3 linked regions of the Arabidopsis thaliana genome follow. The protein of the gene in region 1 interacts with the protein of each later gene in a pairwise test. Each region holds a gene or a part of one and is shown in the gene's direction. Other genes may lie near its edges.

What was found.
Region 2: the proteins of AtHB23 (region 1) and HB33 interact in a two-hybrid assay, tested with the Arabidopsis thaliana proteins (one study listed by BioGRID).
Region 3: the proteins of AtHB23 (region 1) and HB28 interact in a two-hybrid assay, tested with the Arabidopsis thaliana proteins (one study listed by BioGRID).

What each region holds. Positions count from the first base shown.
Region 1 is NC_003070.9:9,353,748-9,357,506, forward strand, and holds AtHB23 (homeobox protein 23), read left to right. Parts: upstream 1-2,079; 5' UTR 2,080-2,378; coding exon 2,379-2,484; intron 2,485-2,565; coding exon 2,566-2,936; intron 2,937-3,201; coding exon 3,202-3,492; 3' UTR 3,493-3,755; downstream 3,756-3,759. UniProt on the Arabidopsis thaliana protein: Probable transcription factor.
Region 2 is NC_003070.9:28,239,059-28,242,817, forward strand, and holds HB33 (homeobox protein 33), read left to right. Parts: upstream 1-1,952; 5' UTR 1,953-2,343; intron 2,344-2,420; 5' UTR 2,421-2,517; coding exon 2,518-3,447; 3' UTR 3,448-3,737; downstream 3,738-3,759. UniProt on the Arabidopsis thaliana protein: Putative transcription factor. Binds DNA at 5'-ATTA-3' consensus promoter regions. Regulates floral architecture and leaf development. Regulators in the abscisic acid (ABA) signal pathway that confers sensitivity to ABA in an ARF2-dependent manner.
Region 3 is NC_003074.8:18,913,889-18,917,647, forward strand, and holds HB28 (homeobox protein 28), read left to right. Parts: upstream 1-2,125; 5' UTR 2,126-2,417; intron 2,418-2,524; 5' UTR 2,525-2,531; coding exon 2,532-3,281; 3' UTR 3,282-3,498; downstream 3,499-3,759. Other genes in the region: AT3G50880 (DNA glycosylase superfamily protein), read left to right, coding at 1-442.

The sequences.
Region 1 (3,759 bases):
CAGTTCCTGGCTAGACTTCCTTTCATTTTCTGTTATTTTTTTTTTGGTAAACCAACGGGAGGGACTGCCGTCTTTATTCAATAGAACCAAAAATAAAAAATTACATGGGCACATGTCTAGCCCCAGCAACACCTGCAGCATCCTCACGCATAATCGAATCGACAAACGGAAGACCTGAGTCAAAAGAAAGAAAGCCTAAAAGTAAACTAAAAGCATAGTTTGCTAACTCGTCAGCAAAACGGTTAGCTTCCCGATAAACATGCGAAACTCGGACTATCCAGTCCTTTGATGAGAAGCCATAGCACAAACGTACTAGGAATGACAACAGATGAGAGTCTTCTATCCCTGTCGTGAGAAAACCAGCCACCAATTTTGAATCTACCTCAAGCTCCAGCCGCGTTATACCCTTCTCCCAAGCTATAACCAACCCGTAGTACACACCCCAAAGCTCTGCTAACGGAGCCGTGCACCGCCCTAAATTCAGGGCAAAACTTCCTCGCCAATCCCCGTACTCGTCCCGCAAAGCTCCTCTTTTTCTGTTATTGTAGTGTGTGATTTGGCTTGTTCTCGCAAACATATATACCAACATTAAACAATACTCAAGTTTGTCCCCCCAAAAAAACTAATACTCAAGAAAATATACAAGTTGTTTTTCCATTTCAACAATTGGCCTTAGCCATATGTGTATACTACAATTTAAGATTGCATAATACATTAAGAAGGAATAGGCTTGCAATGTGATTTTTTATTAAGCAAAAAAATGAAAAAATATATATTTTGTGTACACCTTTTGATACTAAATGAAAAATTGAGCATATTTATTTATATGCGTTTGTTTGTATGTCGTTGAATTGCACTTTTCATATCTCATGCAACATAAAAAATTCATAGAATAAATAGTTTATGCTTTTAGATAAATACAATTGAGGTTAAAACACACAAAAAAGAACAACTCGTGGTAATTTATAAAATAGTTTCAACAAAAATATTTAAACTTGTAGAATATAGACTTGTTGATTACAAAATGATTTGATAGGGAGACCAATTTATACAGTAGTTGGGCCTATATTAAAGTATTTTATCATAAAACCGACCAAAACGTCTAAGAAAGTTGATAAGTGGGGGACCTGAGAAAGAGAAGAAGAAGAAGGAAGAAACCGGCCTCGCATATAAAATGGGCTTTGTGTCAAAACACAATCTGCGGTGATGAAGAGCTTTTTGTGTCCCCCGAAAGTATGTTTACCTACCATAGAGAAAAAGTCATGTTATGTTGTAAAAGGTTTTAAAAAGAAGAAGTCTAATCATATCATAGACTAGTGAGAGTTACCATGTAGGACCTTAGAGTTTGCTTTCATTTCATATCATTGAGACATAGACAAGTGATACCATGTAGGGCCTCTAAGAGTTTGCTTGCATATACTTCTTGACGACCAAAATCACTAGTTTTAGTTCTCGTTAGAAATAAAATTCCATTGACTTGAACACTTATGCATGCAACCATCCAAATGCTTATGTAGGGCATGCTGTTAAAAGAAATTTTAATTAGATATCAACTTTGAAATATTTCATTAAGAATATCAGTTTTTTTTACATATCATATTTAAATTCAACTCTTTTTTTGAAGAGAAAGTGGTAAGAGTATCTAGATCTATAAACTCCCAAAATTTGAAGTATTTGTTACAAATACTCAAATTGTTCATTACGGTACATATTTAATTATACACATCTGAATTAAATATATTCACAATAAATTAATTATGATAATCTAGTGGTTGAAAAAATTACTATTAAATTGAGTGACCATAATCTAATCAATTCACTGTAATATCAATCATGGTTGACCACTGTAAACATCTTAAATTGCAAGAATATGCTATCTTTCACAATGTCCGGAGATTATTATGAATTTCGTTTCAAAAATTCTATAATAGAAAAATATACATATATAATTAGTATGACTATGATATATCTGTCTTTCTATTCGTAAAAAACAAGAATTATCTTTAAAAATACTTGATATGAAAAACTACATAGTACATATCCGTAATCTACCAAAACGGATACAACGTAGTAAAATTAGGGATTTTCCAAAACATACAAAAGCCCATATTCCACCCCTCCAAAGACTATAATCATCCCATGTCTACCTCTCTGTCTCATCGGCTTTGAGTCTTGTCTCCTATTTTATATACTCATATAATAAACAAAATAAAACCAAATTTTCTAATCTAGCTAGTATTTAGCCTATAAGTGGTGTATACTCAGTCTTCTAATTCATTTCACCACCATCCTTCTTCTTCTTTATTTAGTTTTCTTTCTGTACTTTGAACCAAGACAAGGTGGTGGAGAGGAGAAGAAGAAAACAACCAACAAGAGACATGTCTTGTAATAATAATGGCTTAGCTTTCTTCCCTGAAAATTTCAGTCTCCAAAACCATCACCAAGAAGAAGAAGATCACCCTCAACTTCTTCAAGACTTCCATGGTACATCATCTCAATTAACACCTTTGTTCAAAATTTCTAATCCTTTTTTTTTCTACTTCTCAAGATCTTCTCTGTTTTTAGGGTTTCTAGGTAAAAGATCTCCAATGAACAACGTGCAAGGGTTTTGTAATCTAGATATGAACGGAGATGAAGAATATTCAGACGATGGATCTAAGATGGGAGAGAAGAAGAGGAGATTGAACATGGAACAATTGAAGGCACTAGAGAAGGACTTTGAGCTTGGTAATAAACTTGAATCAGATCGAAAATTAGAGCTAGCTCGTGCCTTGGGATTGCAACCTAGACAAATTGCTATATGGTTCCAAAACAGAAGAGCTCGATCCAAAACCAAGCAGCTTGAGAAAGACTATGACATGCTTAAGCGTCAATTCGAAAGTCTCAGAGATGAGAACGAAGTTCTTCAAACTCAAAATCAAAAGCTTCAAGCTCAGGTAAAAGCAGAAACTTCATAACACAAAAGTACTCTGTTTCTTTTTTAATCTTAAATACTCTGTTTTTTAAATCATATATTTCATAAAATATGAATCTTTTTTAGTTGAATTTTATAAAAACAATGCTCTTTTTTGTTTTTTATTGATGTTATTCTTTCAGTTTCGAATTCATAATTTGGAATATATTTGTTTTAGGTCAAAACATAATTTGGAATCATTTTGCAATTTTACGTTCTTTCTTAAATAGTTTGTGTAAATTATGCAGGTAATGGCATTGAAAAGCAGAGAACCAATAGAATCAATCAATCTGAACAAAGAAACAGAAGGATCATGTAGTGACAGAAGTGAGAACATTTCTGGTGACATCAGGCCACCGGAGATCGATAGCCAATTCGCCCTAGGCCATCCACCGACAACTACAACGATGCAGTTTTTTCAGAATTCATCGTCAGAACAGAGAATGGTGAAAGAAGAGAACAGTATCAGTAACATGTTCTGTGGAATTGATGACCAGTCTGGGTTCTGGCCATGGCTTGACCAGCAACAATACAATTGAATGTGGTCGATCTGTTCTTGTTTGTATTAAAATTTTCGTTTTCTTTAAGTGGTCAGATGAACCAATTCATGTTTCAAGAATCTATATTTAGTCTATATGCACCAACTAAGCTAGTAGTTTTTTTGGGTAATGTGATGTAAGAGAATTAATGGGGGAAATATTCATCATATTATATGATAATTAATCAATCATATGGGCCATATGATTAGACATTAAAAAAAGTCTGAACCATGTGCTTTTATATCGTACAACTAATATCCAGAAAAC
Region 2 (3,759 bases), about 19 Mb from region 1:
AATTCTGCAGAGGCTATGACGATTACTTTTTTTGTTGTTCTTATCAAAACTAAAATTAATCTGAAGATTGTTTTGTTTTGCGACCATCTTTAACATTTATTCAAACGCATGGATTATTGCATTTGACGTTGTGATATATATTCTTGTATTTTCCATCTTCTCAAAGTAACTAATATGAATGTAGAGCCAATTAGAACAAGCATTAATTAATGAAATGAACTAATCTGCATGTCTAATTATTCACACGTACGTACGCATAGATAATTTGTGAAACTAATTAGACTATTAGTCGTATATTGATGAACGTACTGATGAGATATCATTACAGTAGAGCCTGTGATTAAGCTTTCAATAGGAAAACATCTCCATGCTAGGACGACATGGTCCACAAAATATGGCTTTCTTGAGTATTATTAATCTTGATGAAGACTATACAAGTTGTATTATACTTGTAAAAACATTTTAATAATAACAAGTAATTTTATATAGTATATTAAAAGGAAAAGTAAAAAGGGGTAGAGTGAAATAGGAAAGAAGAAAAGACATGAGTAAGAAGAAATGGTGTTTGGACAAATTAGGGTTTGAAAAAAAAAGATTAAGGAGCGAGAGAGAGGGATGTAATAATGAAGAAGGAGGGAAGAGAGAGAGAGAAGGGGGCCCATAATGTGGCAGGGCATGTGGCTGGGCTTCCAACTTGACCTTGTCGGTTGTTCTCTGCACTGCCCTTCTCTGCAACCCACACACCTCTCTCTCTCTTTTTTCTTTCATTTTAAAATGAATATATCTCATTATTTCATCTTAATTAAGGAAATTTAGCTAATTCAAATCATGTAGTTACTTTGTTTGTGCTAAATTATGTCTACAGATAAGAGTATTATCCAACAGTTTCAAGGTATATAGTGACAAAAACACAATCTATATAGAAAAATAGTAAAATACAGAAACAAAGATTACGTAATAAGATTATCCGATACCATCAAGTTACTACATATGATCCATTTGGCACAAATTACAATGTTTTAGTTAAATTAATATTAGGTTGACTATTAAAATTGTTTAATATAGTATGCTTACAAGAGATTAACTATTTGAACATACAAGCAACAGTCTAAGCCCATTTCGGTGCATTATCCAGCTTTTTTGTTGTATAATTTTTCTCCAATTTTCAAGTAGTACTATATTTTTGCAAATTTATTTATAGTAAACGCGTTAATGACGTACTGTACACAGTAAAAATGAGCTCATAAAAACCCGAGATAGAATGTCAATTATTGCATCAGTTTCATGCGAGTTACACATATTACGAAATTTTGTGCTTCAAGTTACTATTCAACCACTATGTGTTTAGAGTAGTACTAGACCAATCAATTCATACAAAAATAAATCATTTGATTCAACGAATATTAATTATGCAATGTTAAGAACTACTAAAACTTTTTGGATACTCTCATATAGAAAAAAAAGACATATATAATCAGGAGGACACTCTATCGGACTCGCATTAACTTGAAGATTGAACTCAATATAGCCAGAAGTACATCTGTTTCCAAAAAACTGTGACAAATTTCCACATATCTTAAAAAAATTACAATTATTCCTGTTAACTATAGAGTAAAAATAATAATTAATTAGCCAAAAACCACAAAATAATAGTTTCCCATATTATTATTTTTCTGTATATTTTCTTTTTCATTTTAATCTGTCTTTATGATTAAGTTTGATAGTAAAAGGGTCAGTAAATAAACTACAAATCACATTCTGCTCTAAAGTACTATAAAGTAACAATATTATAGGATAAATCTCTTGTAAACACACACAAATAATCGAAATAGTAATTCAGAAATTCTCTTCTCATTAAAAATATAGAAGCCCTCATAAATATATATAAAAAGGTTATAAAAGCGCATTTAAAAATATAATACTAAAATGATAAATACAGATTAATGGAAGAAGTATAATAAAGAAGTACTTAATAAGTATAAGTATATAGTAGTAGGGTATGACATTAGTGTCATCTCTCACAAAGGGCTCAGCTCTTATCTCTTTCTCTCATGGCCTCACCACAAGCAACCAAATTGTCTCTTATAATCCGATCTCAAAGGTTGGCTTGTTGGGAGCACTGAGACATCAAACATGGTTTCTTCTTTCTTTCACTCTTAAAAAAACCAATTTAGCCCTAAAAACCTCCTTTTAGTTTAATCCCAAAAGTTCCTCAAATCTCTTCTATTCTCTCTCTCTCTCCATTAAAACCCTTCACAAGCAAAAAGCTTTGAGCTTTAAATGAGTTTAAGGTCCTGCAAAAACTGGGTTTTTCCTCGTGTACTTGTTCATCTTATCTCCTCTGTAAGTCTCTGATTCTCACTGCCATTTAGTTTTCTTTTTTGCCTTATTAGTAATCTCATTATCATGTTCTTTTTCAGGCATAAACTTCATTGAAGAAAAAGTCTTTTTTATTTTGTTGATCTCTTTTAATTAAGATCCTTTTGGGTTTTAATTTATTAATCTCCAAGAAAAAAAATGGATATGAGAAGCCATGAAATGATAGAGAGAAGAAGAGAAGACAATGGCAACAACAATGGTGGTGTTGTTATTAGTAACATCATTAGTACTAATATTGATGATAATTGCAATGGTAATAACAACAACACTCGTGTCTCTTGCAACTCTCAAACCCTAGATCACCACCAATCCAAGTCTCCCTCTTCGTTTTCCATCTCCGCCGCAGCTAAACCCACCGTAAGATACCGTGAGTGTCTAAAGAATCATGCGGCGAGCGTCGGCGGAAGTGTTCACGACGGATGCGGCGAGTTTATGCCGAGTGGTGAAGAAGGAACAATCGAAGCTCTCAGATGCGCTGCTTGTGATTGTCACCGTAATTTCCACCGGAAAGAAATGGACGGCGTTGGAAGCTCGGATTTGATCTCTCACCACCGTCATCACCACTACCACCATAACCAATACGGTGGAGGAGGAGGGAGAAGACCTCCGCCGCCGAATATGATGCTTAACCCACTCATGCTTCCTCCGCCACCGAATTATCAGCCGATTCACCACCACAAGTATGGAATGAGTCCTCCCGGAGGAGGAGGAATGGTGACGCCGATGAGCGTTGCTTACGGCGGTGGAGGAGGAGGAGCTGAGTCGTCTAGTGAAGATCTGAATCTGTACGGACAATCAAGCGGAGAAGGAGCTGGTGCGGCGGCGGGACAAATGGCGTTTTCGATGTCGTCGTCTAAGAAAAGATTCAGGACAAAGTTCACGACGGATCAGAAGGAGAGGATGATGGACTTTGCGGAGAAGCTAGGGTGGAGGATGAACAAGCAAGACGAAGAAGAGCTTAAGAGATTCTGCGGCGAGATCGGAGTGAAGAGACAAGTCTTCAAAGTTTGGATGCATAACAACAAGAACAATGCTAAGAAACCACCAACACCAACAACTACTCTCTAATCAGTGATCATATGATTAATTGAGAGATTATGTAAGAGATTTTCTTTTAATCTACTTTTGTTGTTGTTGTTTATTTAATGTTTTCCTTCTTCTAGGTTTTTGTAGTTTGTACGATCTTTGGATCAATCAATGGATCTTTTGTTTGCTTAGTTAATGTTTTTAATTTTGGTTTGCCTTTTTTTTTTAGTCTTTTTATTTTATTTTGTTTGTCTTTTACCCGGATCGTACTTGTAATCAGCTTCTGTTGCTTCTAGTTTATGCTTCTGTCTTTTTTACATTTAAGCTTAACACAAACAATTCTGCTGTACTAAC
Region 3 (3,759 bases), on another chromosome or scaffold:
ATTCATCTCTCTATTCAACGGTGGAGAAGCAGGTGTTGTTCCTGAATCTGTGATCTCACTCTCCGCCGTTGATCTTCGTAAGATCGGTGTCTCCGGGAGAAAAGCTAGTTACCTCCACGATCTAGCTGATAAATACAACAACGGTGTGCTTTCTGATGAATTGATTCTGAAAATGAGTGATGAAGAGTTGATTGATAGGTTAACTTTGGTTAAAGGAATTGGAGTGTGGACTGTTCATATGTTTATGATCTTCTCGTTGCATAGACCTGATGTGTTGCCTGTGGGAGATCTTGGTGTGAGGAAAGGTGTGAAAGATCTTTATGGTTTGAAAAATCTTCCAGGTCCATTGCAAATGGAGCAGCTTTGTGAGAAATGGCGTCCTTATAGGTCTGTTGGTTCATGGTACATGTGGAGACTAATCGAGTCTCGTAAGACCAAATAGCACCTGCCTGGTAATAGTTTAACAATACCTCTCTTTTTAGGTTGATAGTAACTAGAATTGTTATGTTACATAGACAAACTTGATTCTTTATAGAATATTTCATGCTTGACTTGGAAATTTGAACAGTTACATGATTAGAAAGGATAGGAGTATAACATTTGTTTGACATTAAGTTCTCTGGATTGGTTTTTGTTTGGAATGCTTTCTAGAAGTAGAAATCTCCCAAATCTTAAAACAAGAATCATAAAGTATTTATCTTTTCTTGATGTATCTTGTTTATCTAGCAATAGTATCAATCCTAGTAAGTAACATGACGATACTTTATCACTGAAGCTTCTATATCTGGTAGTTATCGTTGAAGTGTGATTTGTTGCAATCAATCATTTCAGTAATCGGGCAGTTAATATGATCCTGTGACGAAGAAGCTTTTCCATGCCCATCACTTCCTTTCCAAGTTTCACTTGCTGGTAATCTGAGTTATTTTGTGTCTGTAAATTATGGAGCACGTAAGAAAAATCCTTCTTGTATTTTAACTGTATTCCACGGATTATATTTCTGTGACTGTTGTAAACATGTATCATGTATGGGGTTTCATTTGACTTGGATATTGAGAAGCATGGCTTATTTACCAAGTCTTTTGTTTCTGTCTTGTACTGGGCTTGGCCCAATGTCTCATCCGGCCCAATTGATCAAGTGGTAGATAGCTTGGATCTGATTTTGCCAAGACAGATGTGAAATCAACCCTTGCTTTCTTTTAACTTAAAATAGTTATAGGAAGAAATTACTCTTATTCAGAGAGACGAATTTAAAAGTCTAAGATGTCACGCGTAACATTCAAACCTCTTAATAAAAGTTTAGTATATGGCTAATCTATTCCCGTTGATTGATTTCAATATTTGGTAAGAAATGAAGATGATCATAAAAGTGCTACACAGCTGTGGGAAACAAAGAATCTGAAAAATGAGACATGAGGCATGTGGAGATAAATAAAAGTGCAGGTTTTGTTGTGCTTATGTGGACCAGCTTTTCATTCTTTCACACTTTTAATTCTTCAACCCTCCCCACCAGAAAAATAATTTATCATGTCTTCTCTTTCAAGACTATCATTAAACTCTGATTGTTAAAGCTTATTTCATTAAACAACTCTATTAGAAACCCTAATTCCATTTGTATGGGAAATTGAAGCTATAGTAGTTAACTTCTAACTCCATGCAAACCATAAATACCTCTCATAATGATAGTAAGAGTATTATTTTCTCATTGATTATCACAATAAATCTGATCAAAGAATTTGTGGAGATCGATAAATAAAGATACTCCTACTATTATTATGACAGCATAAAGGATTGACAAACATTGTTGTTCGAAGTTTTAATCTATTTTATGATATGTTAGAACTTAAAATCATAGTCCTAAAAATTTATAACTAACAATACATAAGACATAATTTTAACTTACATTAGAAAAAAGTTTTGAAAACTAACCCATTTAACTAATTTAAAATAATCCCATAACTTTCCTCTCATTTATCTCTCTCTCTCCACTCCTCAAGTCTGTACTTAGTAGGTAATAGTTTGACTAAGCTAGGTTTTTTTGCAGACATACATTAATTAGTAACACCATCAATAATCATCATAAAAGAAAATAGAGAGAAAGAGAGATAAATGCAATAATGGGAGATGGACCAAAGGTGCAGGTGGTGAAAGATAACAAACATATGACAATGTCTCGAAATTAAGAGGCACCACCACACATACACACACACTCTCTCTCTCTAGTAGGTTTGTGTTTTTAAAATCAATATTTTTGTTGGATTCTCATGTGAAATAAAACTTGATGGGTGATAGGAAACAAACACACATACGTCATCATCATCCTTAATTTCTATTTCTCCTTCTTCTTCATCATCAATATCAATCTCATCTTCCACTACTCCTCCCCTCTAACAATAAGCAGCATCTCTATAATCCCTAAGGTGAGTCCAAAAGTCGTCTATTAATTATTAAAGGAGAGATTTTTGCATGCATTATTGAATGATTTATAAGTATTAATATTTAACAAAGTTTTGTTGTTTTGGGTCAGATTCACAATGGAGCTTGGAGGAAAATGCAATGCAATTACAACCACAACAATGATCTCAACAGAAGTAAAGCCACATACGGATCCGGAACCAGAAGCCAAACCCGAATCAGATCCATCCATGGCTTTATTCCCGATCAAGAAAGAAAACCAAAAACCAAAGACACGTGTCGACCAAGGAGCTAAGTACCGGGAATGTCAGAAGAACCACGCGGCCTCAACCGGAGGACACGTGGTGGACGGATGCTGCGAGTTCATGGCCGGCGGAGAAGAAGGTACACTCGGTGCTTTAAAATGCGCCGCCTGTAACTGTCACCGGAGCTTCCACCGGAAAGAAGTGTACGGACACAGGAACAGTAAACAAGATCATCAGCTGATGATAACTCCGGCGTTTTACAGCAGTAACAGCTCGTACAAGCCACGTGTAATGCATCCAACGGGTGAGATTGGACGGAGGACTTCATCTTCAAGCGAGGATATGAAGAAGATTCTGAGTCATCGTAACCAAAACGTTGATGGGAAAAGTTTGATGATGATGATGATGAGGAAGAAGAAGAGAGTGAGGACAAAGATCAATGAAGAACAAAAGGAGAAGATGAAGGAATTTGCAGAGAGATTAGGGTGGAGGATGCAGAAGAAAGATGAAGAAGAGATTGATAAGTTTTGTAGGATGGTGAATCTGAGGAGACAAGTTTTTAAGGTTTGGATGCATAATAACAAGCAAGCAATGAAGAGAAACAATAGTAACATTAGTGAATAGTTTGATGATCTGATAAAAGTGAAATAAATTTTTACAATCCTGTTTTGCTTTTATATATAATTTTTGCCCTTCAAATTATTCAAAATCTTGAGTATAAATCTGTGGAATCTTGTATGTTTTGATTGTTTTATATTGTATCTGGGATTATTTTTTTCTTTTACTTAATTTGTGGTTGAACAAAGTGATAAAATTGGACCTTCAAATAAAGAGGGAAAAACGTGTGTAATTAATAATTTAATGCACAAGTATGGTTAGTACAATTAGCTGGAATAGCTCAGTTGGTTAGAGCGTGTGGCTGTTAACCACAAGGTCGGAGGTTCGACCCCTCCTTCTAGCGTTTTTTATCCTTCAAATGGCTGTTTTAAAATTCTGATTCATACTTTTTTTTTTCTGTCTGAATAGAAAGTTGATTTTGTTTGAAAAATCTGATTCATAATCATGTACATGCATGATAACAGTCTGATGTTAAACCATCGTA